Arabidopsis thaliana: one gene and its partners. The protein of the gene in region 1 interacts with the protein of each later gene in a pairwise test. Each region holds a gene or a part of one and is shown on either strand. Other genes may lie near its edges.

What was found.
Region 2: the proteins of VAMP723 (region 1) and DER2.2 interact in a protein complementation assay, tested with the Arabidopsis thaliana proteins (one large-scale study listed by BioGRID).
Region 3: the proteins of VAMP723 (region 1) and DER1 interact in a protein complementation assay, tested with the Arabidopsis thaliana proteins (one large-scale study listed by BioGRID).

The regions. Positions count from the first base shown.
Region 1 is NC_003071.7:14,039,205-14,047,166, reverse strand, and holds VAMP723 (vesicle-associated membrane protein 723), read left to right. Parts: upstream 1-3,777; 5' UTR 3,778-4,274; coding exon 4,275-4,464; intron 4,465-4,999; coding exon 5,000-5,141; intron 5,142-5,227; coding exon 5,228-5,348; intron 5,349-5,547; coding exon 5,548-5,592; coding exon of another isoform or gene 5,593-5,667; exon of another isoform or gene 5,668-5,714; coding exon 5,715-5,870; 3' UTR 5,871-6,129; downstream 6,130-7,962. Other genes in the region: RALFL18 (ralf-like 18), read left to right, coding at 335-646; SAR1 (synaptobrevin-related protein 1), read left to right, coding at 1,830-2,043, 2,496-2,637, 2,731-2,851, 3,044-3,106, 3,233-3,382; CSLD1 (cellulose synthase-like D1), read left to right, coding at 7,123-7,670, 7,776-7,962. UniProt on the Arabidopsis thaliana protein: Involved in the targeting and/or fusion of transport vesicles to their target membrane.
Region 2 is NC_003075.7:2,456,896-2,464,454, reverse strand, and holds DER2.2 (DERLIN-2.2), read right to left. Parts: upstream 4,603-7,559; 5' UTR 4,321-4,602; coding exon 4,222-4,320; intron 4,128-4,221; coding exon 4,028-4,127; exon of another isoform or gene 3,857-4,027; coding exon 3,642-3,856; intron 3,570-3,641; coding exon 3,486-3,569; intron 3,407-3,485; coding exon 3,353-3,406; intron 3,260-3,352; coding exon 3,077-3,259; 3' UTR 2,716-3,076; downstream 1-2,715. Other genes in the region: CLS (cardiolipin synthase), read left to right, coding at 451-932, 1,016-1,082, 1,166-1,240, 1,404-1,455, 1,857-1,942, 2,082-2,156, 2,245-2,339, 2,458-2,551; KEA3 (K+ efflux antiporter 3), read right to left, coding at 6,965-7,336, 7,426-7,515. UniProt on the Arabidopsis thaliana protein: May be involved in the degradation process of specific misfolded endoplasmic reticulum (ER) luminal proteins.
Region 3 is NC_003075.7:14,441,432-14,449,952, reverse strand, and holds DER1 (DERLIN-1), read right to left. Parts: upstream 5,401-8,521; 5' UTR 5,017-5,400; coding exon 5,000-5,016; intron 4,403-4,999; coding exon 4,267-4,402; intron 4,161-4,266; coding exon 4,087-4,160; intron 4,000-4,086; coding exon 3,906-3,999; intron 3,657-3,905; coding exon 3,528-3,656; intron 3,446-3,527; coding exon 3,285-3,445; coding exon of another isoform or gene 3,248-3,284; exon of another isoform or gene 3,191-3,247; coding exon 3,001-3,190; 3' UTR 2,716-3,000; downstream 1-2,715. Other genes in the region: PRF4 (profilin 4), read right to left, coding at 1,486-1,620, 1,706-1,843, 2,104-2,235. UniProt on the Arabidopsis thaliana protein: May be involved in the degradation process of specific misfolded endoplasmic reticulum (ER) luminal proteins.

The sequences.
Region 1 (7,962 bases):
ATATATGGAAATCATTATTGAGGCTTTGACCAATTAATTATGCGAATTGACCGACTTTGATCACTATACAGAGCAAAACAAATCCACTGAATCATTTATTTGTGTAGGTTCATCTTTTTTGGGCACCGTATTCATTTCTTATTCCATGAATTTGACGGAGTAATTTTGATTTTCTTTTTCGAGTAAGAATCTGGTCAAATATTCGATGAACCTCTACAAAAAAAATTAACCTCTATAAAAGTGTAGATTAACCAAGTGTTTCATCACAAACCATTTCAACGTAAACGAAACAACAACTACTACTCTCAACTTTACACTCTCTTGATAAGTCTCGATGATGAATAACATGAAGCTCTTGATCATCGCTGTGATGATCATCTCGGCAGCTTTGCTTCCAGCGCTTGTGGTCGGATCTCGTCCGGTAAAATGTGACAATTGCATGGACGGTGGAGAAAAAGAAGAGATCATGAAGATGAGTTCAGGTGTAGATGTGAGCCATAGGATACTTCAAGCTAAGAGATTTATAGATTACGAAGCATTGAAGAAAAACTTACCAGCCAAACCAGATGGTAAACCGGATAAACCGGATAACAAATACCGACGTGGTTGCAGTGCCGCTACAGGATGTTACCGCTTTACAAATTAAACATAAACCACCTCTCTCTTCTTCTTCTTCTTCCTTTCGTTGGTGTGTTTTATTTTATTTTTAATTAGTATTTCCAATCACATTTCTTATTATTATATTTTATTGCAATTTGTAAGCCTTTGAGGCATTATCTCCTAGAGAGTTAGAATAAACTTCGTTTAGAAATTGTCATCCTTTTCTCACCAAATGATTGACGAGTGAAAATTGATCTCATCGTAAAGTATTTTTGCGGTCAAGTTCAAACAAATTGATCCCTTCTCTCGCACCATATTCTTGTTTTATTTTATTTAAACGATCGATATATTTCCAAACCATTCCTCCAAAACTATCACACATTCACACCTACCAATTTCAACTTTAAATACAAAATATAGTCTTGTTGTAAATATAAGATACACTTTAGAAGTGTACACGTGAAATTCAGGTATATATATTACAATAGTAAGCAACCTCTAAGTACAATTAAATCAAGAAAAAAATAGATTTGAATTAATAGGAGCGGACATGGGATGCATGTAGAATTGTAGATTATCATTTATTATGGTGACTAGACCATTGAACTTTCCTATAACTTTGAAAATATTCTTATTTAGTCATTTAATTTAGATTACACCAAAACCCCAAATATGCCAAATTTTCTACAAATACCCCAAAAAAGACAATTTATAAAATTATTATCCAACCACATGTAATAATCTTTGATGACTTTTAAGTTTTAAATTTTAATAGTAGATTTAGATAATATAGGAACCAATTATTCAAAGGTCAAAGTTCAAACTAGCTTATCCAAATTCATTTTCGCTGATAAAAATACGTTGAAACTATCAAATAACAAAATACCATTACACCAACATCACCAACTTTTTAAAACCCCACAAGTTGATTATTTGAATTTGCTTTTAGGTCCTCAAGTTCAAGATTGTTTCAATTTGCACAATCTGCATAAATCTTTCTGAAATATAACTTTTTTGCCCTCTAAAACTCAAGGGTTTGATTTTTCTTCTTCAACTACGTTAAGATTTCTCCTACACTTTTCTTTTTCACCGTATTCTCTTTTAGTCCTCGATTCTCTACGCGTTTCAGCGTCAAGTCTTCTAGATCTCTAAAGCCTTCGTGCTCGCCAATATAAATCTCTGAGATCGGTCCCGTAAAATCGGATTCGCGTCGTTTTTGAGTAAAAAAAATGGCGCAACAATCGTTGATCTACAGTTTCGTCGCTCGTGGTACCGTTATCCTCGTTGAGTTCACAGATTTCAAAGGCAATTTCACATCAATCGCTGCTCAGTGCCTTCAGAAGCTTCCTTCTTCTAACAACAAGTTTACCTACAACTGCGATGGTCACACGTTCAATTACCTCGTCGAAAATGGATTCAGTGAGTCAAAATATTGCTCGATCTGTAAGCGTAGCTTGTTTGTGTTTTGATTTATCCATTGTTTGAATTAGATTTTTTGCCTAATTGAGAAATATGAATCGAGTTCTTATGTTTGGTATAGTTTCCAGTAATAATTATGTATTGGCGTTGATAATTAATTGATGTTAGATCTATGGTAATCAGTGATATTTTTGGTGGATCTATCAATGAATATTTGCAATTTTTGTTCTGGATCTATTGATTCTTTGCTTATTTGCGTGTAGCTTTCGATATCATGAAGTTTTTGGCATTAGTGTATTGTGTTCTTTATGTAACTCTGTTTTACTAAACCTAATTGGGTTTTGGGTGATGTTGATGGCGGATATGGTCTCTTTATGATAGTGTTAACTTTCTTATCAGCGATATATTGATGAATCTATTGCTTTATCTCTTAATATAGAGTTTAAAATGGACCGGTTTTGTTTTCGTTTGTGCAGCCTATTGTGTTGTTGCAGTTGATTCTGCTGGGAGGCAGATTCCTATGGCTTTCTTGGAACGAGTTAAGGAGGATTTCAACAAGAGATATGGTGGTGGAAAGGCTGCAACTGCTCAAGCAAACAGCTTGAATAAAGAATTTGGGTATGTGTTTTTTGATCTCTTTGATTGGTATTGAAAAGGGTCTATGATTCATGGGCATAGTTATTGATGGACTTCTTTTTGGCTTCTCTAAAGGTCGAAACTGAAAGAGCATATGCAGTATTGCATGGATCATCCTGATGAGATTAGCAAGCTTGCTAAGGTTAAAGCTCAAGTGTCTGAAGTTAAAGGTGTTATGATGGAAAACATTGAGAAGGTTTGATTCTGACCCTTTTTTCTTTTTATCGATATAGTTTTATGTTGTAAACCTTTTCGAACAGAGTTCAGCTTGTATGACTTTAGTACCAGGATCTTATGATTCGTAAAGCATAAACTGTAGAGAGGAATGTTTTATTCTCGGTTGTGAAGACATATTCTGTTGTTAACTCGTTTATGCATTCGTTTGCAGGTTCTTGACCGTGGTGAGAAGATTGAGCTTTTGGTTGACAAAACAGAAAACCTTCGCTCACAGGTTTGTTTTCTAAATGGTTCAAAGTCAATAGACCCACACAGAGACATGCAAGAGTTTGCAGCTTTCTCTTACTGATTGTTGTTTCTTGGGTTTCTAACTTTAAATTTGAACTCGACTTTATCACAGGCGCAAGATTTTAGAACACAAGGAACTCAAATGAGAAGAAAGATGTGGTTTCAGAACATGAAGATAAAGCTCATTGTCCTTGCAATTATCATTGCCTTGATTCTCATCATCATCCTCTCAATTTGTGGGGGATTCAACTGCGGTAAATAAGTCTGGAACATTTCTTCCCGGCGTTATCGACTGCGCTCTGTGCTTCCCAAGATCTCTGAGAATATCTTCATTCAGTTCGTTGTGCTACCTTTTTGTTTTGTTTTTGTTTTTGTGATTTCTATATTCTCATACTATATGTTTCTTCTTAGATTGTACTTCTTGAAATTTGTTTTGTATAGGCTATATATATTATACATATATGTATGCATGTTCGACAATCTGCAATGTTGCTATTGCTGGTACTGACACTAATTCTTGCAAACCAATATTTGGACGATACTTGTTCTTGGCAATTTACTAATTTCTTTGGTCTGTTGATGAGACTCTAGTTGCGGATTGCAGTGAGGTATAAGCATAGTCCACAGCCGGTTAATATTAAATGGAGATGAATATGTAATTAACACGGTTTCGTCTGACCGATTCACCAGAGTCTCCGGTTAGTTCATTAAGGGTTTGCTCAAACGCTTTCTCCTCTGCTTCCCTAATTTCGGAAACATTCGCCTGATTTTCTGAGATTTTGGAATTTCTTCGAATTGATTGCCATGCTGAGCTCAAGATTTCGACTGCTGAAATCGAGGCGACTTGCGGAGCCACCTCCGGCTGATGTCGCGGTTATGTGTATTTGCAGGAAATGAAAGTGATCTCCTTATTGCGGCAAATCAGCCACTTCCTGTCGACTAAAACTGTGGTGCAGCATGTAAGAACAAATGCAAGTTCGGACAAACGTGTTGTCTTGGTCAGTGGTTTTACTTGGCTTAGTCTTCGATTCTCTACGCGTTTCAGCGTCAAGTTTTCTAGATCTCTAAAGCTTTCGTGCTCGCCGATATAAATCTCTAATATCGGTCCCGTAAGATCGAATTAGATTCGCGTCGTTTTTTAAGGAACCAAAATAATGGCGCAACAATCGTTGTTCTACAGTTTCATCGCTCGCGGCACCGTAATCCTCGTCGAGTTCACAGATTTCAAAGGCAATTTCACATCTGTCGCTGCTCAGTACCTTGAGAATCTTCCTTCCTCGAACAACAAGTTTACCTACAACTGCGATGGTCATACGTTCAACGACCTCGTCGAAAATGGATTCAGTGAGTCAAAATATTGCTCGTGATGTGTTTGTGATTGTGTTTTCGATTAGTCGATTTATTCATTGTTTGGATTAGATTTCTTTTTACCTAATTGAGCATTTGAGAATCGAGTTCTTATGTTTGGTATATCTCTATGACTTATCTGAGTCGAGTTCTTATGTGTTTACCGTTTGGTATAATTTCAGGAATAGTTATGTATTGGGTTTGATAATTAATTGATGTTAGATCTATAATCAGTGATATGTTTGGTGGATCTATTTAAGCATCTATGCAATTCTTATTATGAATCTATGATTCTTGGCTTCTTTGCGTGTAGCTTTTGTTTTCATGAATTTGGCTGGTTTTTCAAATGAGAGTTGTTTGGGAAATTTGTGGATATATATCGCTCGAGTAAATTGCATTGGTGTATTGTGTTTATTATATTGCTCTGTTTTAATTAAACTTAGTTGGGTTTTGATGACGTTGGATATGGTCCATATCATATGGACTCTTTATTATATTTTTTAAGTTTCTTATGAGGGATATGTTTGTGCAGCCTATTGTGTTGTTGCAGTTGATTCTGCTGGGAGGGAGATTCCTATGGCTTTCTTGGAACGCGTGAAGGAGGATTTTTATAAGAGATATGGTGGTGAAAAGGCTGCAACTGATCAAGCAAATAGCTTGAATAAAGAATTTGGGTATGTGTTTTTTGATCTATATGATTGGTATTGAGAAGTTTGTATTATTCATGTCAATGACAGACTCCTTTTTGGCTGCTCTAAAGGTCGAATCTGAAAGAGCACATGCAGTATTGCATGGATCATCCTGATGAGATTAGCAACCTTGCTAAAGCTAAAGCTCAAGTGTCTGAAGTTAAAAGTTTAATGATGGAAAACATTGAGAAGGTTCGATTCTGACCCTTTTTTCTGTTAATGGTATAATTTTATGTTTTAATCTATTTCCAGTAGAGTTAAGCTCGTATGAGTTAAGTGTCATGATCTTTTGGTTCCTTAACCTTTAAATTGATGAGGGGAATGTCCAGTTCTGGGTTGTATAGGCATGTATGCTGACCGTTTTTACATTGTGGAACACATTCATTTGCAGGTTCTTGCCCGTGGTGTGATATGTGAGATGCTGGGTAGTTCAGAGGTTAGTTCTCTTAGGCATATGGTTCTAAGTTCCATACACATAGATATGCTTGAGTTGCCAGTTCTCTCTTACTAATGTTGTCTTGGGTTTCCAACTTTTAATTGAACTCGAAACTGTCACAGTCACAGCCGCAAGCTTTCTATATAAAAAGAACTCAAATGAAAAGGAAGAAGTGGTTTCAGAACATGAAGATAAAACTCATTGTCCTTGCAATTATCATTGCCTTGATTCTCATCATCATCCTCTCGGTTTGTGGGGGATTCAACTGCGGTAAATAAGTCTGGAACATTTCTTCCCGGCGTTATCGACTGCGCTCTGTGCTTCCCAAGATCTCTGAGAATATCTTCATTCAGTTCGTTGTGCTGCTTTCTTTTTGTGGTTTCTAATTTCTAATTTCTGCTATGTCCTTTCTACTTAGGTTGTACATAAATATTATACATATATGTATGTCCTTTCTTCTTTGAAATTGGTTTTGTATAGGCCATATATATGTATGAATGTTTTTGCTATTACTGGTACTGACACTGATTCTTGCGAACCAATACTGTGACGAGATTTAAATATGTAATTGGCAACTTACAAATTGCTCTGGTCTGTTGATGTCTTAATGAAGGCTCTAGTTGCGAATTTGCAGTGATGGTGATAACGGTGTAACATAGCCTAGATTGGAGACGAGTCTGTTTGGTCTGACCGGTTCAGCAGAGTCTTTTTTTTTTTTTCGTCCTTCAGCAGAGTCTCCGGTTAGTTCGTTTCTTTCGTTGCTGCCACATCACCTCGCTCGAACCTTTCTCTTCTGCTTCCCTAATTACGGAAACGATTCGTCTGATTTCGATTCTTCTAAACGATTAGTCGGCTAGCCATGTTGAAGACGACGCGCTCAAGTTCTCGACTACTGAAATCGAAACGACCTGCGGAGACACCTCCGACGCCGGTCCGAAGGCTTCTGGACTGGAGGTGATTTGGCGTCTAACCGATGGATAGCTGCGACTGCGATGCATTGTTAAGGAAACAGACAGAGATGAGTAATCCAAATGCACCTGTGACCTGCTTTGGTATTGTTTCTGATTCCCCTCCTATGTGAAATTCAATGCTTGTTAAATTAGGGAAATTTGGTAAAGCTAAACCCTTGGTTTCTAGCTTTAGAGTCTGATATTGTATTAGAGAGAGTGTTTTTATGTGTATCTTTGTTATCATTTTCGATGATTTGATCTATCTAGTTTTCTCACAATGTTATACACAATCTTTTAACCATTGATAAGCAACCTTCATTGAGATAGAGAGAGGCAAAGCACAAAGAAAGGAGATTTCAGAACTCAAAAGATTTCAGTTTTAAGTTTTCCTTATAATAGAAAAGGATCTATTAACCGTTGAAATTCTAAAGCTTTTACATTTCCTTCCAAACTCATTCCTCTGTTTTCTTATTTTCCTCTTTTCCTAAATCAGGTTTGTCAAAAAAAAATAAAAAAAAATGGGTTCAGTTTCTCTCTGAAGAAACCAAACGACCCAAAACAAGATAATTCCATAATTGTAATGGCTTCAAGTCCACCCAAGAAGACCTTAAATTCACAATCTTCTTCCTTAAGCCGGCCTCCACAAGCTGTCAAGTTTGGTCGCCGGACGTCCAGTGGTCGCATTGTTAGCCTCTCCCGTGACGATGACATGGACGTCTCTGGTGATTACTCCGGCCAAAATGATTACATCAACTACACCGTCCTCATGCCTCCAACACCTGACAACCAACCTGCTGGCTCCTCTGGCTCCACCTCGGAGTCTAAAGGTGATGCTAACCGAGGTGGAGGAGGAGGAGACGGGCCCAAGATGGGGAATAAGCTGGAGAGGAGATTGTCTGTCATGAAATCAAATAACAAATCAATGTTGTTGAGGAGCCAGACGGGAGATTTTGATCATAACAGGTGGTTGTTTGAATCTAAAGGAAAATACGGTATTGGAAACGCGTTTTGGTCAGAAGAGGATGATACCTATGATGGTGGCGTTAGCAAGTCCGATTTCTTAGACAAGCCATGGAAACCTCTCACGAGGAAAGTTCAGATCCCGGCCAAAATTCTTAGTCCCTACAGGTGATTGTTTGTTTTCACATTTTAAAACCCCTCAAGATTTTCTGCTTCTTTTATTGATGTCTATTACAGAACATCAAAATCTTACAATTAGTCCCCTTGTTTCAGGTTATTAATCGTGATTCGTCTTGTGATAGTCTTCTTCTTCCTTTGGTGGCGTATTACGAACCCTAATGAGGATGCAATGTGGTTATGGGGACTATCGATAGTCTGCGAGATTTGGTTCGCTTTCTCTTGGATTCTTGACATTCTTCCGAAGCTAAACCCTATAAATAGAGCTACTGACCTTGCTGCC
Region 2 (7,559 bases), on another chromosome or scaffold:
GTTCGATTTTCGGTTCAGATATGATTCGGTTCGAATAATTCAGATAAGAAAATTCGTTATCCGGTCAGATTTTTTAACTTTTTGGTTCGATTTCGAAACCGAATTTTTCGGATCGGTTTCGGATTTCTGATTTTATGCTCAGCCCTAAACAAACATTTGATCCAATTTTCCGAATCGGGCTGAACGTTGCTAATCCGATTTCTTATTCCGGTTAATATCCCGATTCGGTATAGCTATACCGAATGATCTCACCACGTGTACATAAAGCATCCACGTGTTTCATGAAGATTACACGTGGCACAAGCCAGCAGCGAAAACCTAGTCGCCTCTCTGATACATCTTCTTCCTCCTTTCCGGTGTTAAAGGAATCAAAACAAAATTCAAATTCCTAACTAAACAGTAATTAAATTAAAATTAATGAGGAAGACGAAGCTGCTTTGTTGATGATCAATGGCGATTTACAGATCTCTAAGAAAGCTAGTTGAAATCAATCACCGGAAAACAAGACCATTCTTCACCGCCGCTACAGCTTCCGGCGGAACCGTTTCTCTGACTCCACCGCAGTTTTCGCCGTTGTTCCCACATTTCTCACACCGTTTATCTCCGCTTTCGAAATGGTTCGTTCCTCTTAATGGACCTCTCTTCTTATCTTCTCCTCCTTGGAAACTTCTCCAGTCTGCGACACCTTTGCACTGGCGCGGAAACGGCTCTGTTTTGAAAAAAGTCGAAGCTCTGAATCTTAGATTGGATCGAATTAGAAGCAGAACTAGGTTTCCGAGACAGTTAGGGTTACAGTCTGTGGTACCAAACATATTGACGGTGGATCGCAACGATTCCAAGGAAGAAGATGGTGGAAAATTAGTCAAGAGTTTTGTTAATGTGCCGAATATGATATCAATGGCGAGATTAGTATCTGGTCCTGTGCTTTGGTGGTAAGTATAGAAGTATATATTCCTCAGGAAGATAATATTAGGAGAATGAAGAATCTGAGACTTTGTTTGTGGTTCTATTGTAGGATGATCTCGAATGAGATGTATTCTTCTGCTTTCTTAGGGTTGGCTGTTTCTGGAGCTAGTGATTGGGTATGCATCTTCTTTGTGATTCTTTTTTCTTTTTTGTAGTATTGGAAGAAGAACATTGTATTAATAGATGCTTGATTTTGTAGTTAGATGGTTACGTGGCTCGGAGGATGAAGATTAACTCTGTGGTTGGCTCGTACCTTGATCCTCTTGCAGACAAGGTAAAGTCTTTCTTTATCTATTATGTGTTTTACTTTGTTGGCTCATTGTGGATGTTCTCTGAATGTGTTTGAGAGTTAAGGTTAGTTTCAAGCTGCAAACATGTGTGAGGTTTCATTTCATTTCAATTCCGTTTTCTTGATTGTGCTCGTGTTTTGAATTCAGGTTCTTATCGGGTGTGTAGCAGTAGCAATGGTGCAGAAGGATCTCTTACATCGTGAGTATTCTTCTACCTCTTTTACTCCTGGTAGATAATAAGTTAGCAGTTACAATTGAAACTTTGAAATAGCTAGAGTTCACAAAGTTGAAGGGCGGAATTTTCTCTTATAAGGAACATGTGCTTTGATTTACACTCCAATTGAGTGATCGCCTGGGAAAAATGTATCAGAATTGTCGTATTCATAATTTCATAAGCACAGTTATTTGATCTCCTTGAACAAACCTCCTTACAAGATTGCATGGATGTATCAAGAGGAAACCGTACTAAGTTAATTAACTAGTTGCTAAACTCGGCTGTGTGTGTTAGTCCTAGATTGCACTACTACCTTTTAAACTTCTTAAAAATCTTTGATACTATACTCAATTTTGGTGGATGCATGGGACATTTGTGCTCTAAAGCTGGACTGGTTGGAATTGTGTTGTTACGGGATGTTGCACTCGTTGGTGGTGCAGTTTACCTAAGGGCACTAAACTTGGACTGGAAGGTGAATTTTTGTAACTTGAGCTAGACCACTAAACTAATTTCTCTTGTTTCCCTACATTTTTTTCCTGCTCGACCATATGCTTTAACAAGAACACGAATAAATTTATTGATGGGAATCATATTGGTCTTGTTTCTTTCAGTGGAAAACTTGGAGTGACTTCTTCAATCTAGATGGTTCAAGTCCTCAGAAAGTAGAACCATTGTTTATAAGCAAGGTATGATCTCTAGGTGATACAGCTTGTTCTCATCTTGGCATCTTTGGTATGTGTAACTGATTTGTTAATGGAACATGTCTATCGACAGGTGAATACAGTTTTCCAGTTGACTCTAGTCGCTGGTGCAATACTTCAACCAGAGTTTGGGAATCCAGACACCCAGACATGGATCACTTATCTAAGGTAATAGGTCTTTTTCGAATTACCACACAGCTGGACTAATCACTACCCTTAAAGTTATAAACATATGAAGTGTGTTCTCTGAAATCTTGTTATTGGTCTCATGTTGTTTTGTATCCAGCTGGTTAGTTGCTTCGACGACTATGGCTTCAACTGCAGCTTATGGTGTACAATACTGGAAGAAGAGACCTATATCTATGATTAAGAGATCATAGTTTCTAGTTTCCAACATTTATAAACTTCACACACGAGGCACATGCTTAATTAAAGAAGCTTGAACATGTCTTGTTGTTTTCCGGAATACGCAGCTCTCACTGTTTTCTACTGCTAACTGAAATAGAAAAGGAAAAAAAATGTACTAAAAGCAATGAAACATTTGTTCTGATATCTGAACAAAAGTACATTTCTTCTGATATCTGAGTCGGGCAGTGAATTCAAAACATGTTCCCTCGCTAAAACATTGCGACACTAGTAGAGGTTGTGTACAAATTGAGTGTGTTCATATCAATAACCACTAAAAGCAAACGATGTTTGTATACACAAAAAGATGAAGAGATGGGAGGAAAGAGAAGGAACCAAAACACACCCAACTACTAGAAACTAGGGTGTGTGGGTCGCAACTACGTGTCAGAGTCAAAATAGACTTTTGTGTATCATCTGCCTTTGCACCATTTATATCTGATCCACAAGCCAAACTACTGATTCGGGTGTTTAGGTTTGGGAAATGTAAGATGACAGAATCAGTCTTGGTGGATTTCATCGAAAGGCGCAGCAGCAAACCTCACATCTTCTGGCCGTGCAACCACAACTGGTTCATCTGCAAATAACGCTTTGAGGAATGATGGAGTCTTTAATGGACGACGATTAGTCATTCGCGGATAAACCTCAGCCAGAAAGTAGTAAGCGTGACCTGCTATCATACCCTGAAATGTTTTGATCAGACTGAAGTTAACTTGGGTGACAAAAGATCAAAAGAGACTGGAGAAGAAATTTTTTGGGATAATCTGAGTATATACCAAAAGATCCACCCAAGCACTGGCACCAACAAGGATAGAGAAGCCAAGAAGCACCTGCAAAAGCCAGAATTTGCAGAAGATGTTATTTATTCATTCCGGTGGAAGTTTAGGGAAACGAGAGAGTTAAACTCACCCATGGTAGGTAAGCTGCTGTGAAGGTGAACAGACCAAGGAAACTCATGTGAATATAAGGATTTTGTTTGCTCCATACATAGACCTGTGGAACACAAGAGACTATAAGCTGATATTTAGAGGCGACTTAGATTTGTGGGAAACAGAAGTTACCAACCATCATGAAAGTTAATGAGTTGCTGAGGAAGATGATTTTAGCAAATGATGCTGACAAGTATGGTATCATTCCACCGATAAGTACAATACCGGTTAAAACAGATGCTCCAAATAGGAGCATGTATAGGAAATCAGCAGTCTTTCCCCTGAATGAGTTTTCTTCAAGGAGTTTGCAGTATCGTGCGAGAAAGAACATATGGAACATGAAGTCCAAATCTACAACAACCCCAAACACATATTTGTTTATAAGCAATCAATCAGTCACAACGCTATTAACAAGTAGCAGCCTAGAGCTAATAATGTGACAAAGACAAGAGCTTCATATGAAAGTAATAAGCACACAAATGTTGTATCCAGTTTCATAGAGTAGTGTTAAGGGAAAATTACCCATCTTCCGGAAATACAAGAAATTAGTAACGAGACGCCAATATTGGTATTGCTTCACCACAAGTGTCGGATTCAAATAAAGGTTATATGGAGATATGATCTGCAAAACAAAAACAATCAGAATATGAAACCCTAATTTAGAGAATTTCAGAGAACCCCAAAAAAGATTCGCGAATAAGCAAGCAAGCACGTACATCGAGGGAACATCCGACGGTGGTGATAACAGCCGCCGTGAGATAAGAGCGAGTGATAATCGGCATCTGTTTATACCATTCTTCTACAGCCTGAGCCATATCTTCTCCGTAATCGCAATCGATCCGATCAATCAAACACAGTAAAAGCCCAACGGAATCTATGGAAGCTTCTTCTTCTTCTTCTTCTTCTTCTTCTAAGGTTTGCAATGAGTGTATTCAGATTTCAAATTTCACCAACGCACAACTTCGAAACGAACGACGAAACTGAGAGATTCGTCTTCTTCGTTTGTTTTGTATATACAGAAATTTATATGTGTATAATAGTTTAACATTTGCGATATTTGTTTAATTACATGAGCACGACTAATCAGCAAGCGCGTGGATTACATCAGCTATATACTATTTTTTTTCATCAATGTATTTATAATTTTGGGTCGAGTCTTAAACAATATCTGATAACAAAAAAAGTATTTATAATTTATATATCATTTTAGAAAAGAAAAACAGAAAACTAAAATCTATAACTAAAACTAAAAAACCTATGATTACAACAAAAAATACTACAAAGAAAGCACAAACGATATCAGTAGTCGTTTGAAGAATAAACATTGTCTGAGAATAATCTGTGAAGCTCAGACATCTGCGTGATTGTCTCAGCTCCCAAAAAACTCGAACCTTTATTTTTATTGCCACGAACAAACCTTAGACGAAGTCAGTCCTCAAAACTCATATAAACAAAAATATCACTTGATATGCTTCGAAAACTTGTTAATTCACTCTCTTCATTTTGCACTGTTTGCCCAACACTGTTAACAAAAATTTTACACATGTACCCCTATATTATCGATTGCGTAAGTTGTAGCTTGTAGAGGGATATTATTGCAGTAGTGTAGAAGAAGATTTTATGTAGATATATTTGGGAAGTTGTGTTATTTTATTAATGGTTTTTTTTTCTTACGTAGTTACTCGTCTCTTTCCAGTTTTGTATGAAGATAAGAGACTGTCGTTTTGAGGCGTAAGAAAAAAAGAAATGATTCCTCCAAATTCTTGTTTTATTTCGTTCTGTTTTTCGAACAGAAGTTCATCTATCAGATTTGTGCTTTGTTCCTCGCGTCTTTTGCTAGTAATCGATATAGATGTTTCCTTTTTATTTTGATTTTGACTTCCTATCTTGAGTTGTTTTACAAGGATTTATGTTTTTTTTTCTAGGAACGATGCTGCCGATTCTTCTCCCTCCCCGTCTGATTGCTTTTGGCAAAGAACTTCGCGGCGAGAGGATTAATGTTTATCAGAAGATAAGGGATTAGCGTGATACTAATGTTATCAGAATGTGTTATCGCCCAACATTGTTACCATTTCAACCTCTCGGCCTTTGTTTATGGGATTTTTTTAATAAATTAACTAAAATGATATCGTGATTAGCAGCCACGAAATTATTTTGTTATTGGTTATAAGATTATCGTGATACCGTTGATTATCAGAAAATGTAAATAGTTTTGATTATTTTTGCAAAACATCAGAATACAACCTGCGAAACTCTCATTATTGTTTTGCTTATTTGCTAGAAGGTATATCGACTAACATTGTCACCAGCTAAGCTCGTTGAGACTTAATTTAAAAGGCTACAAACAAGAGGCTCGCGTTAGCGGATAAGAGTGTATGTTTTAATGTTACCGAAGCGTCTCACTAGCTTTGATTCGTGTCAAAACACAAATTGACATCGTCTCGTTATTATTTTAATTATCTGCTAGTAGTTTTAACGACTAACTTCGTTACCATTTCCACTTGTAGGCTTTTGCTTATGGGTTTTTAAAAAAAAACTAACTAAACGTTATCGTGTTTATCAGATACAAACTTATCATGTTAGCCGTACACGGTTAGTAATCAGAGAGTGTTATTAGTTTTGCGTTAGCAGATACGAGATTATCGCGATACTAATATTATTAAATAGCAATATAAGTTTTGATTCTTGTTCAAAACCCAAAGCGACAACGTGTGGAATCGATATGAAATTATCCTGTTATCAAATTATCCTCGTACACAATTGTTTGAGACTTATTTTAAAAGGCTTCGAATAAAAAGGCTCGTGTTAGCAGATAAGAGATTATCGTGATATTAATGTTACTTAAGCGTCCCACTATCTTTGATTCGTGTCGAAACACAAATAGATATTATATCGTTATGTTTATAATACCCACAACCCCATAAATATCATACCCGCAACCCCATTTTTTATCATGCATAGTTTATTAATTTTCCGATCATCTGAGTATAGATAGTAATATAACCCTAAACAAAACGACTTAAATTACAATTTTATGAGGGATTATTTGATCAAGGATTAAAATCAATATCTATGTTTTAAGATTTAGAAACTACTTTTTTTCTTTCTAAATTTCCATGTTTAATTTGTGTGGATTTCATATTTTTTTACTATATTTTTTTTTGTTTCTTTAGTAATATAATCAAATCTGTTTCAATTCATTTCATTGTAAAGACCAACATTGGATTATGTTCGAATTTATATTGGCACTAATATCCATGATTCAATAGTACCTAGACAGTGAAGATATTTAATGAATTTGAGCTAACTATTGGCTTTTTAGCGACAGTGATAGTGAGGAAAAATAATAATAATAATAATAATCACAGAAAAGAAAAGAAAAAATTGTTTCTTTTAGTTTGGAATATTGGCTGCACATTTCAGAAAAAAAAAAAAAAGTGTTAGAATTTTTGAGCAATTTTAATCTTGAGCTTTATCAGCTTTACCAACAAATCCATTATCTATATTCACAGAAGAATCATCAATCTCAGGAGGCTGACTCAAACCAGCTGTTTCTTGAAGAATCTCTGCTGCAGAATCTGAGTTTGAATCAGAAGCTTTCATTTGCATTGGCTTCATGAGCTGGACTTGTTTTTGTGTTGCAGCAGACACTACGTTTATATCAGATGCTTTCATTTGCATTGGCTTCAAACCAGCATTTGTTTCACTAGCTGTGATTTCTTCTTGAGCTTGTATCTCCATTGAATCTCTGAAAACTTTACTTAGAAAGCTTACGTCGTCAGACATTACTCCAAATCCTGTCAACAGCTTCGAACCGAGCTGTAAACTTGTCTATAAACCCGAAACAAACAACCAAACTCGTTCAGAAAGAAATCTTACTGTGATCATAAAAGAGCAGACATCTTTTGGAAGTTTTTTACCTCTGCATTTTCGAGAATTGCATCTGTGGCTCCTGCTTTCTTTAGTTCAAGGAGATGCGGTAAATCTTGAGCTCTTGCGTAAATAGGACTCTGGTAATATGTTAAAAGGAACAGTTGTTGTCACTTAAACTTGA
Region 3 (8,521 bases), on another chromosome or scaffold:
TGCAAAAAATTCCATTAAAATACATATTTTATTTATTTACTGAATTTGATAAAGACAGCTAAAAGAAATACCAAAAAAAAAAAAAAAGTAGATACAAATGAAATTCAAAATGTTTTGTGTGAAAGTCGATAAATAATTTTAAAATGATAATCAAAAGAAAATATTTTTAAAATGATTAAAATTTGCATCCGGTTAAAAGAAATGATTTTTTTAATCTATTAACAATTTCATTTCTCGGGTTTTACATTATTTCTACAGTTTTTATTTTTAAACAAGATCATATAGAAAATGCATATAATTCTTGCATGGTATAATTTGATCTAACGCTAAAAGTATATTGAAAATTTGTGTAAATAAAATTGTCAAACCAAATGTGAAAACGTTTTAGATTTTATTGGAACAAATGAAGTTTACATAAATAAACAATACAAAAGTTTTTTTTTCTTTTCTAAAAAAAACAATACTAGAGAATTTAATTTCCAAAATCAAAGAAAAGAGATCGAAGTATGGCCATAATTTGTTTACAGGGTGGATATGCTCTTGCATTGTGTGCCATACACCAAAATATTCCAATTATTTAGGTCCACCCTTTACAATTAATGTTCTCTTTTCCTAATGTCATTGTCAATAAATGTTTCTTAATTACCCAAAATTTAGAAAGATGGTTAATAAACCTTTTTCTATTCCAAAAAAAAAAAAAATGTTTTTGAGTTATTGAAGAGAAACAATCACTTGCTATTGTTAATTTGTTATATGTGCATCGTATTGATTCAAAGTGAATATTGTGAGATAACAAAAATTTCCTTATATCTAAGTGATAATGTAATAATAGGGAAAAAAGACTGAGATTCGATTTCTCGATGAGCTGTTAGATTAGCACATAATAAAGACAGATGGGATGGGAATGATTTTCCGACATAATTGTACTATTATTACTTTCCTATTAAAGATTAAAGTTGATGAATGAATTCTGCCTGTTGCCATTTTTCTTTCTCATGTTCATTTTTTCTTTCTTACGAATGAAATCACTAGGAAAGATTGCGTTGCGTATCAGTTTTTTCTTCTGTTGTAAATAATGAGTGTTGATGTATGTGTTAAATGCTCGTGTAAATTTTGAAAGTGTTTTTAGTATTGTGAGATTAATGTCTCTACTACACTACATACAATTTTCTATAGATTATGATAATGCAATTTTCTCAATCAATACGTTAATATTTAGTGTAGTAGACAGAATGCAATTGACAAAAAAGCAAAGAGAAAACAACTAAAACATGCATATAAATAAGAAACCAAGGCAAAGAGAGTAAAAGCCTTTTAGGCTTCAGCTTTCTTAAAAGTTTGCTATGGGGAGAAACCAGGAAGGTCCATTAGCCCAAAACTTATAATATCAATTAGAGAAAGAGATGCAAATCACCCAAAGGAAAAAAATAGGAGAAACAATGGCCTTATAAAAAAATGTAGGTGGTGGAACATTGTAAGAAGATTCTAGAGACCCTGTTCGAGGAGGTAATCACCCAACCTCTCGACGACCATGTTGCACTGTCCTGGTGTCACTGGCTCTTCATAGATCCCAAACACACATGACTGTCCTGTTTTCTTTATCGTTATGCCTCCTGCTCCCTAATTGAAAGAAGCATATATTGAATTAGAACCCTCTTCAACATGGTATTTGCATATCTGATCATGAAGCTACTGATTAGGTTACCTTCTTGCCACGGATTACAGCCCCGGGCTCACCTTGGATCACCATGTACTTTGCTCCTGCCATGAATAATCCCGTGGGTGCCAAGTGACCCGGTTCGTCGAAATCTTTCATAATATCACTGAACTCCTGTCCCTTGAACTATATGAAAGACCAAATCACGATTAGTCGATTACCATGAGACAACATGCATCATTTGTTTTCAAATCTATGCAAAACATATAAAAAGAAACACACACACACAAAATACACTATATATATATCCCATGACAAACATTGATAGAATCTAATCAAAACATGATGCATGATCTAAATCACATTGTAAAAACACATATCATATCGGATAGCAACACTATCAGGATCTAAATCACATTGAGATCAGACGCAATGAAATCAAATACCTGAGGGAAGTTGGCGCTCTGAGCCCAAACGCTACCGTCATGACCAACGATAGCGGCAGCAGTAAGGTGGTGTCCTTGACCATCGCCAACATCACACATCAAATGCTCATCAACGTAAGTTTGCCACGACATCTTCTTCTTCTTTTCTTATTTTTTTTCTTCTTCTTTGTTTATGATCTATACGTTAAGTGCCCCGGTTATGTGCAGCGTGGGGACTTCGTCCTTCAGATAAATAGGAGAGGAAGGAACAAGGATCATTTTAAAACCGTTGGATCACATAGACGAATTCTCAGCCCTACATCTTACTTTTTCTTCAAAAAAACAAGGAGTGATTTTCAATTAGTGCCGCTCAAGTTTCGCCTTTGTTATAGCTCAATCATTGTTTCGCTATTTGCCACGTCTACTTTCTTCCCTTTTCCTATTTCCCCTATTTATAAACGATCACCAACGGCATTTTAGAGGAAGGACCGAAGGAATGATTATTTACTCGTTAGTCGTAATCTTGTTAGCCAATAATAATATTATGTCCTAAAAAATTCAAACTTGTTACGACCAAACTCTTTGGTCACGAATTTAATAACTTATCTAGATAGATATTCAAACTCGTTACGTCCAAATTCTTATGTCACAAATTTCATTTGATTATATTCATAGTGGCTATAGTTTATCGAATTCAATTTAGTAAGGAGATGATTGCTAGACAAAAACAAAAACATAGAAACATGAACCACATTTTGAAAAGAACATTGTATTAAAACCTCAAAGATTCTTCCTACAGAGTCATATATTCAAAAACTGTACTGTTCGAAAACACAAAGCTACCTGGGATTAGTTAGTGGCATTGTTTGAAAAAGATTTGATATGATGAAAACAAAGAAACTCGAGAAGATTTCTATTTCAGTCGGTGAGACGATATGATCGACCTCTGAATGCTGTGTTTGAACTCTCGGGTGGGGCACGAGCGCTTGAATAAGCTCCTCCTCCTCCTACTCCTCCTCCAGCTCCGGGTCCTGCTGCTCCTACACCACCTGCTTGTCGAACACTTGCAACTGGAGCTCCAATTCGCCATCTTGCTACGATTTTATTACTGTTGAGAATGTCAAGGTACAACAGCAAAACAAAAACTGAGAAGCGAGAGAAACAATCATCTGGAAATAATCGAGAATTTGAATAAAGGATACACCCATTTTGGGGTTTTCAGGTAGTTTTTTCCGGTAGCAAGAGGATGAAGGACTGTTAGGAAGTAGTATAGATGTCCAGCTATGATGCCAAGAAGATCTGGCATGATCGGAGAACCGAAGATAACATCAAGTGCTAGCATTGCCCATGGGAGGTAGAAAGCCTGTGGAGTAATTCCAACTTTCACCATTAACATTATATATACCAAGGAGTGGATTTGATTACAAAAGAAACACTTTCAATACCTTAAGAGTGACAAGACCGTATAGGCTGATGTTGGCATTTGGAAATTCTCGGCTCCAGAGATAAAGAAGCATGAACACAAGTGAAACACCAAGAAACGGTGTCCAGAAAAATGGTATGACTGATAATACCTGAAATTTGAACAAGGTAACTGTTTTAACACACGGATTTACTAGTATGAATACCTTCCAAAATTTTGTCTCGCTTTAATAAAATGCAACCCTGATTCAATTCTTTGAGAGCTTCTGATCTTCTCAGCTTTGGGATATTATGTACCAGCGATTATCTACTTTGTGGCATACCACATACTAGTACTGGGGTTCTCAAAGAACCAATAACAATGATCAGTAAGAATAGAATACAGGGGAGGCTTTACATACCAATAGAGTGAAGGATCCAAAGATCATCATCCACAAAAAGTCTGCTGTCCGCCTTTCAAATGGCCCTTTCTCGAGTTGAACTCCATATCTTGCTCTGCACAATCATTTAAAAGAGTATGTTAAGATAATAAAAATCGAAATTAGCTTTGTTCATCTATATATGTGAAAATAGTATGCTCACATCATCAAAAGACGTATTCCAAAATTGATAGAGAAACCACCGAGGAAAAACAAGTTTGTTATCAGCCTCCAGATCTACAAACACCAAATAGATCAAAAATTGCAGAATGAATTAGGAACTTAGGATGACAGAGATTTGTGAGAAAGAAAGGAAAATCATAAAAAAGAATAAATCATATACCTGGAACTGCTTAAGTACAAGTTCAGGAATTAAAGCAATGTGAACGGGAGCAACTAAGCCAAGCTGCGTGGCTACTGTAGTGAAAAAGCACAACGTACCATAAGCCTTGGTTATAGGTGGAAGTGAGTTATAGAATCTGCAATCAATAACAAGCGATCTAAGAAACAATTTGACAGATAAACAATCAAAATCATACATATTCCATCCATCTATAAATTTCTAATCAGGAAATGTCATCAAGATCAGCTAAAGCATAAAACTTTACCACAAGAGACAAGCCTACGCAGAGATATTTTAGACTATCGTAGCTAGGAGAATCAAAGTAGCCTTGTAACTATGATACAGCAAACGAGAACAGTTTTGCTTCAAGACACTATGAGATTCCATATTTCAAGAACTAACTACCAGTTGACTTGTACTAACTTCCATGGCATAAAAGATGTTTCTTTACATCTCAAATCACCAAAATATCAAATGATGACAATGCAAATTGATAACTATATACTAAAAATAGCGTTAGCTCAAGTTCACAGAACTCGCTTGGTGTTGCAAAATTACGCTCGAATTGAGAAGAATCAACAGTTGAATGCTTCAAAAACCCCTATACAAGCTAAACGAATCATGAAAATTATTAACCTAAGGACTCAAAATCCTGGGTACGAAGACCAAGCTAAGAATCTCTCGATCAAAATCGAATCGAAGCAAAGTTTCAATAGAGGGGAACGGAACTCACTCGCCAGGAGAAGACATGTTCGTCGATTTTCGAAGATCCGAGGTTCTGAGTCCGATTCAAGATTCGAGATCCGATATAAGCTTTGAGAGCACCGCAAAACAGAAGCTCGAAAGTTCCAGAATTTTTTTTCCTTCTAATCATCTGAAAACTCAAATCACTTGTTTTTGTTAGGCAGCTGCGTAAGTTATCCAATCATACCTTGCCACGTCGTGTTAATTCACCGTCTTGAATACGTGGCACGTTTTAATTTGTAATCGTGTTTAAACTTGTGGGATCAATTTCTCTTCTTTCTGATGCGTCTCTACTCTCTAGTAGTCTGTCTCTATGATGATCCCCAGTTGGCCAGTTTATTGAATTGGGCCAAAGAGGCTTTTATTTGACCCATTAATAGATCAGGCTCGAATTAGATATGTTTATAAATGTTTTTTTCTTTGCCAAAAAAAATAATGTAAGAATATGAACCCTAACAAATTAACAAGAAAAGACAATGCAAAGGGAATCTAATCTCAAGGAATATCAAAATTAGAGAAACATTAGCATTAAAGCAATGATCTTTCGCAAGTATGGTCGGAACCAAAGATCCGAGATTTATTATTAGTTTCAATAATAATGTGTTTTTAAGGTAATTAAACAGAAAATCAAGATTATTTAACCTGGATTAGGTACGGGAGAGGGTCCATGTGCATGTGACGGGTCCCAACCAGATAATCTTGACCCGATTCGATCTCACTCCTTGTCTGCTGACTCATCCTTACGTCATTCCACACAATGCTTTGTTATTTGTTATTTTGTTGGTTTTGCGTGGAACTGCAAGGTAAATTGATCAATAATAATAATGTATTTTCTAATTATAATCTGCTAAAAATAATATTGTAATTTCTCATTAACTGTAAACAATTTTAGTATTAAAAGAATTTTACAATGAATTTCAAAACTGATTTGATGTTGTCCTATGTAGTTTTAAACAAATAGTAGTAGACGTTCTTTTCATAACTTAGAAAGATTATTGTGATATTGAGCAATATCGATCTTCAATGTTTATATTTGAATAAGAATCTCAAGATTTAAAAATAATTTCTTAAACACAATCAATAGGGTTGGTACATAAACAATTACAAGTTTTTTAACAGTAAAAACCGTTTATACCGTTATGTTCTTGTACTGCTTTATTTTATTTTTACCTCACAATAGAACGAGATATCTCTTCTCGTTACAAATCACACCTAGCTAATACAACATAATACCTATTGTTGAATACAAATATTAAGATACGATACGGAGACAATATCTGAACTATAATTAAGTTGATAAGCATTTTTGGCACCACATTACGAGATATGCCAATATGCCACTTGGTTTCTTTTGGAGTATATGCGAAATATAAGTTTGATCAAAGAGTAGTGTTAGTGCTTAGGTGGTTAACATATGTTTGATAAAAAATGTGACATGGTATAGATCATGTGAGTTGTTAGATACGTTATAAGATTTCATTTCATGACCTTATATAACTTATTAAATATTAGTTCGTTGTAATGTTCCTAAGTTAGAGCTTTTTATTGGTCGTTACGTTGGAGGCTACGTAAGTGGGTTTCATGCATAGTCACGCGAAAACAGCTTTTGGACGGCTAAATACCCCTTCTAATTATATGATTGATTAAAAAACATGTATAATCTACACAGTTAACAGTTTACTAACTATACTTTTTTACATTATCGTTGAGAAAATGAATAAGATTAAAGGGTCCCTAGATTAAATGTGAGTGGAAAAGAAAAGAAAAAAGGTTTTGGTTCTTTTGGATTGTTTGACCTATCGATAGAGACATCGCAATGGAACTTGCCAATGGCGAGAGAGGAACATGCAAATTTCATTACATTGTGATAAGTTAAATCCCGGAAAAGGAGGGAGGAGAGAAAACGACATATTTGCAACCAAAAGAAAAAAGTGATAGAAAGATGCGTTTAAAAAAGCAAACAAACTAAAATCATTTATGAACAAGGAAAACAAGAGACCGAGCTTGTCAAATGGCAAAAATGGTGGACCTATCCATGTTTCAGTAATTCGCATGTTTAATGTCGGGAAACTAGTTTTTCGTTTTTTTCTCCCATTGTTTTGTGATAGAAATGACAAATTTAATACTCACAAATTTAAAACCACCCACATATTTAGCTAAACTCACAACTGATAAATGTGATTCTTAGTATTTGAATCGAAAAAGAGTGGTAAGGTAAGTTCAATACTTCCCCACCAAAAAAAATATAACATTAGAAAAATCTAGTTGATCAATAGTGTTAACATGCAAATTCCGTATGTATATGATAAATAGCAAACTATATTTTTCGTGATTTAAATAACTCTGGATGCAAATGGCCGAACATTGTTTTTCAAAACCAAATTGGAATCAGTGGGTTGAACGAATCCGACCAATATCCATATCAAAACTGATTCTGAATAAATCGGACCTAGTGCCTAGTATAGTAGCTTGGCCCTAGCGCATAGCTAGTAAATTGATTGTTCGAGGTTTTGTTTTCATTTGCGAGAAGAGTATTATTACTTACATGCATTGGTTATTTTGTTTCCTTCATTTTTTATCTCTTTTTTTGTCAAAGCCATAGATGCATTGAATATTCATCAGGAAAAAAAGAAAAAATTAGCAACTTGGGCAAATGTCTTCTTAAAACATTAATGTATTACCAAATGCGAAATAGAAGAGAAACTTGTTACGTCCTTTCATAGACATTAAAAAATAGAGAGACATATCTATTTCAAGATCTTTGCACGTGATCGAGATGTTTTTATTGTTTTTGGCTAACATATATCCAAGTTAGAGCAGAAGATATCAAAAGAATATTATGGATGGCAATGAATCATTTTCAGTGAAGCAAATAGTACGTTCCTTAAATCAATTAGGGTACTAAAGTTTTGCAATAATCCATTCAATAATAGTATCTCTCTCTCTTTTCTTTACCAAAAGGCTTTTATTGTCCTATAACTTATGAACATCAAGAGAGGTAAGTGCATTTTATCACCTACAATATTAGTATGGAACGTAACATATAGACCTTCTAAATTGGTACATAAGTCCTAATTACTCTAACCAAACAGCGGAATAAAATGTAAAATTCTATATGAAATGCGAATTACCATAAATTTACTCGAGCTTATATGTCTATTTTTCTTTATAATTTTTGTCGTCAATTAATGTATAAAGGATTTCGTAGCATATTACATGCATGTGGCCGTAATACGGAAAGAACCAAATCACTAATTTTTAATAACCAAGTCTCCTCTTTAATGGGAGGACCCATTATCGAACAACATAATATATTAACTATCGAAATACCATAAGTTTATTGAAATTACCTAGAGTAATCATAAACTCTAGGGTCGTCAAATGAATTACGCAATGTCAAATATGAGATATATAGTGTTCATGTTTGGTAACAATTCATTTCGACCATGACCAACATCGTAGACAAGACATATAATTACAGTTAAACACAAATATCGACTTGTTCTCTCTT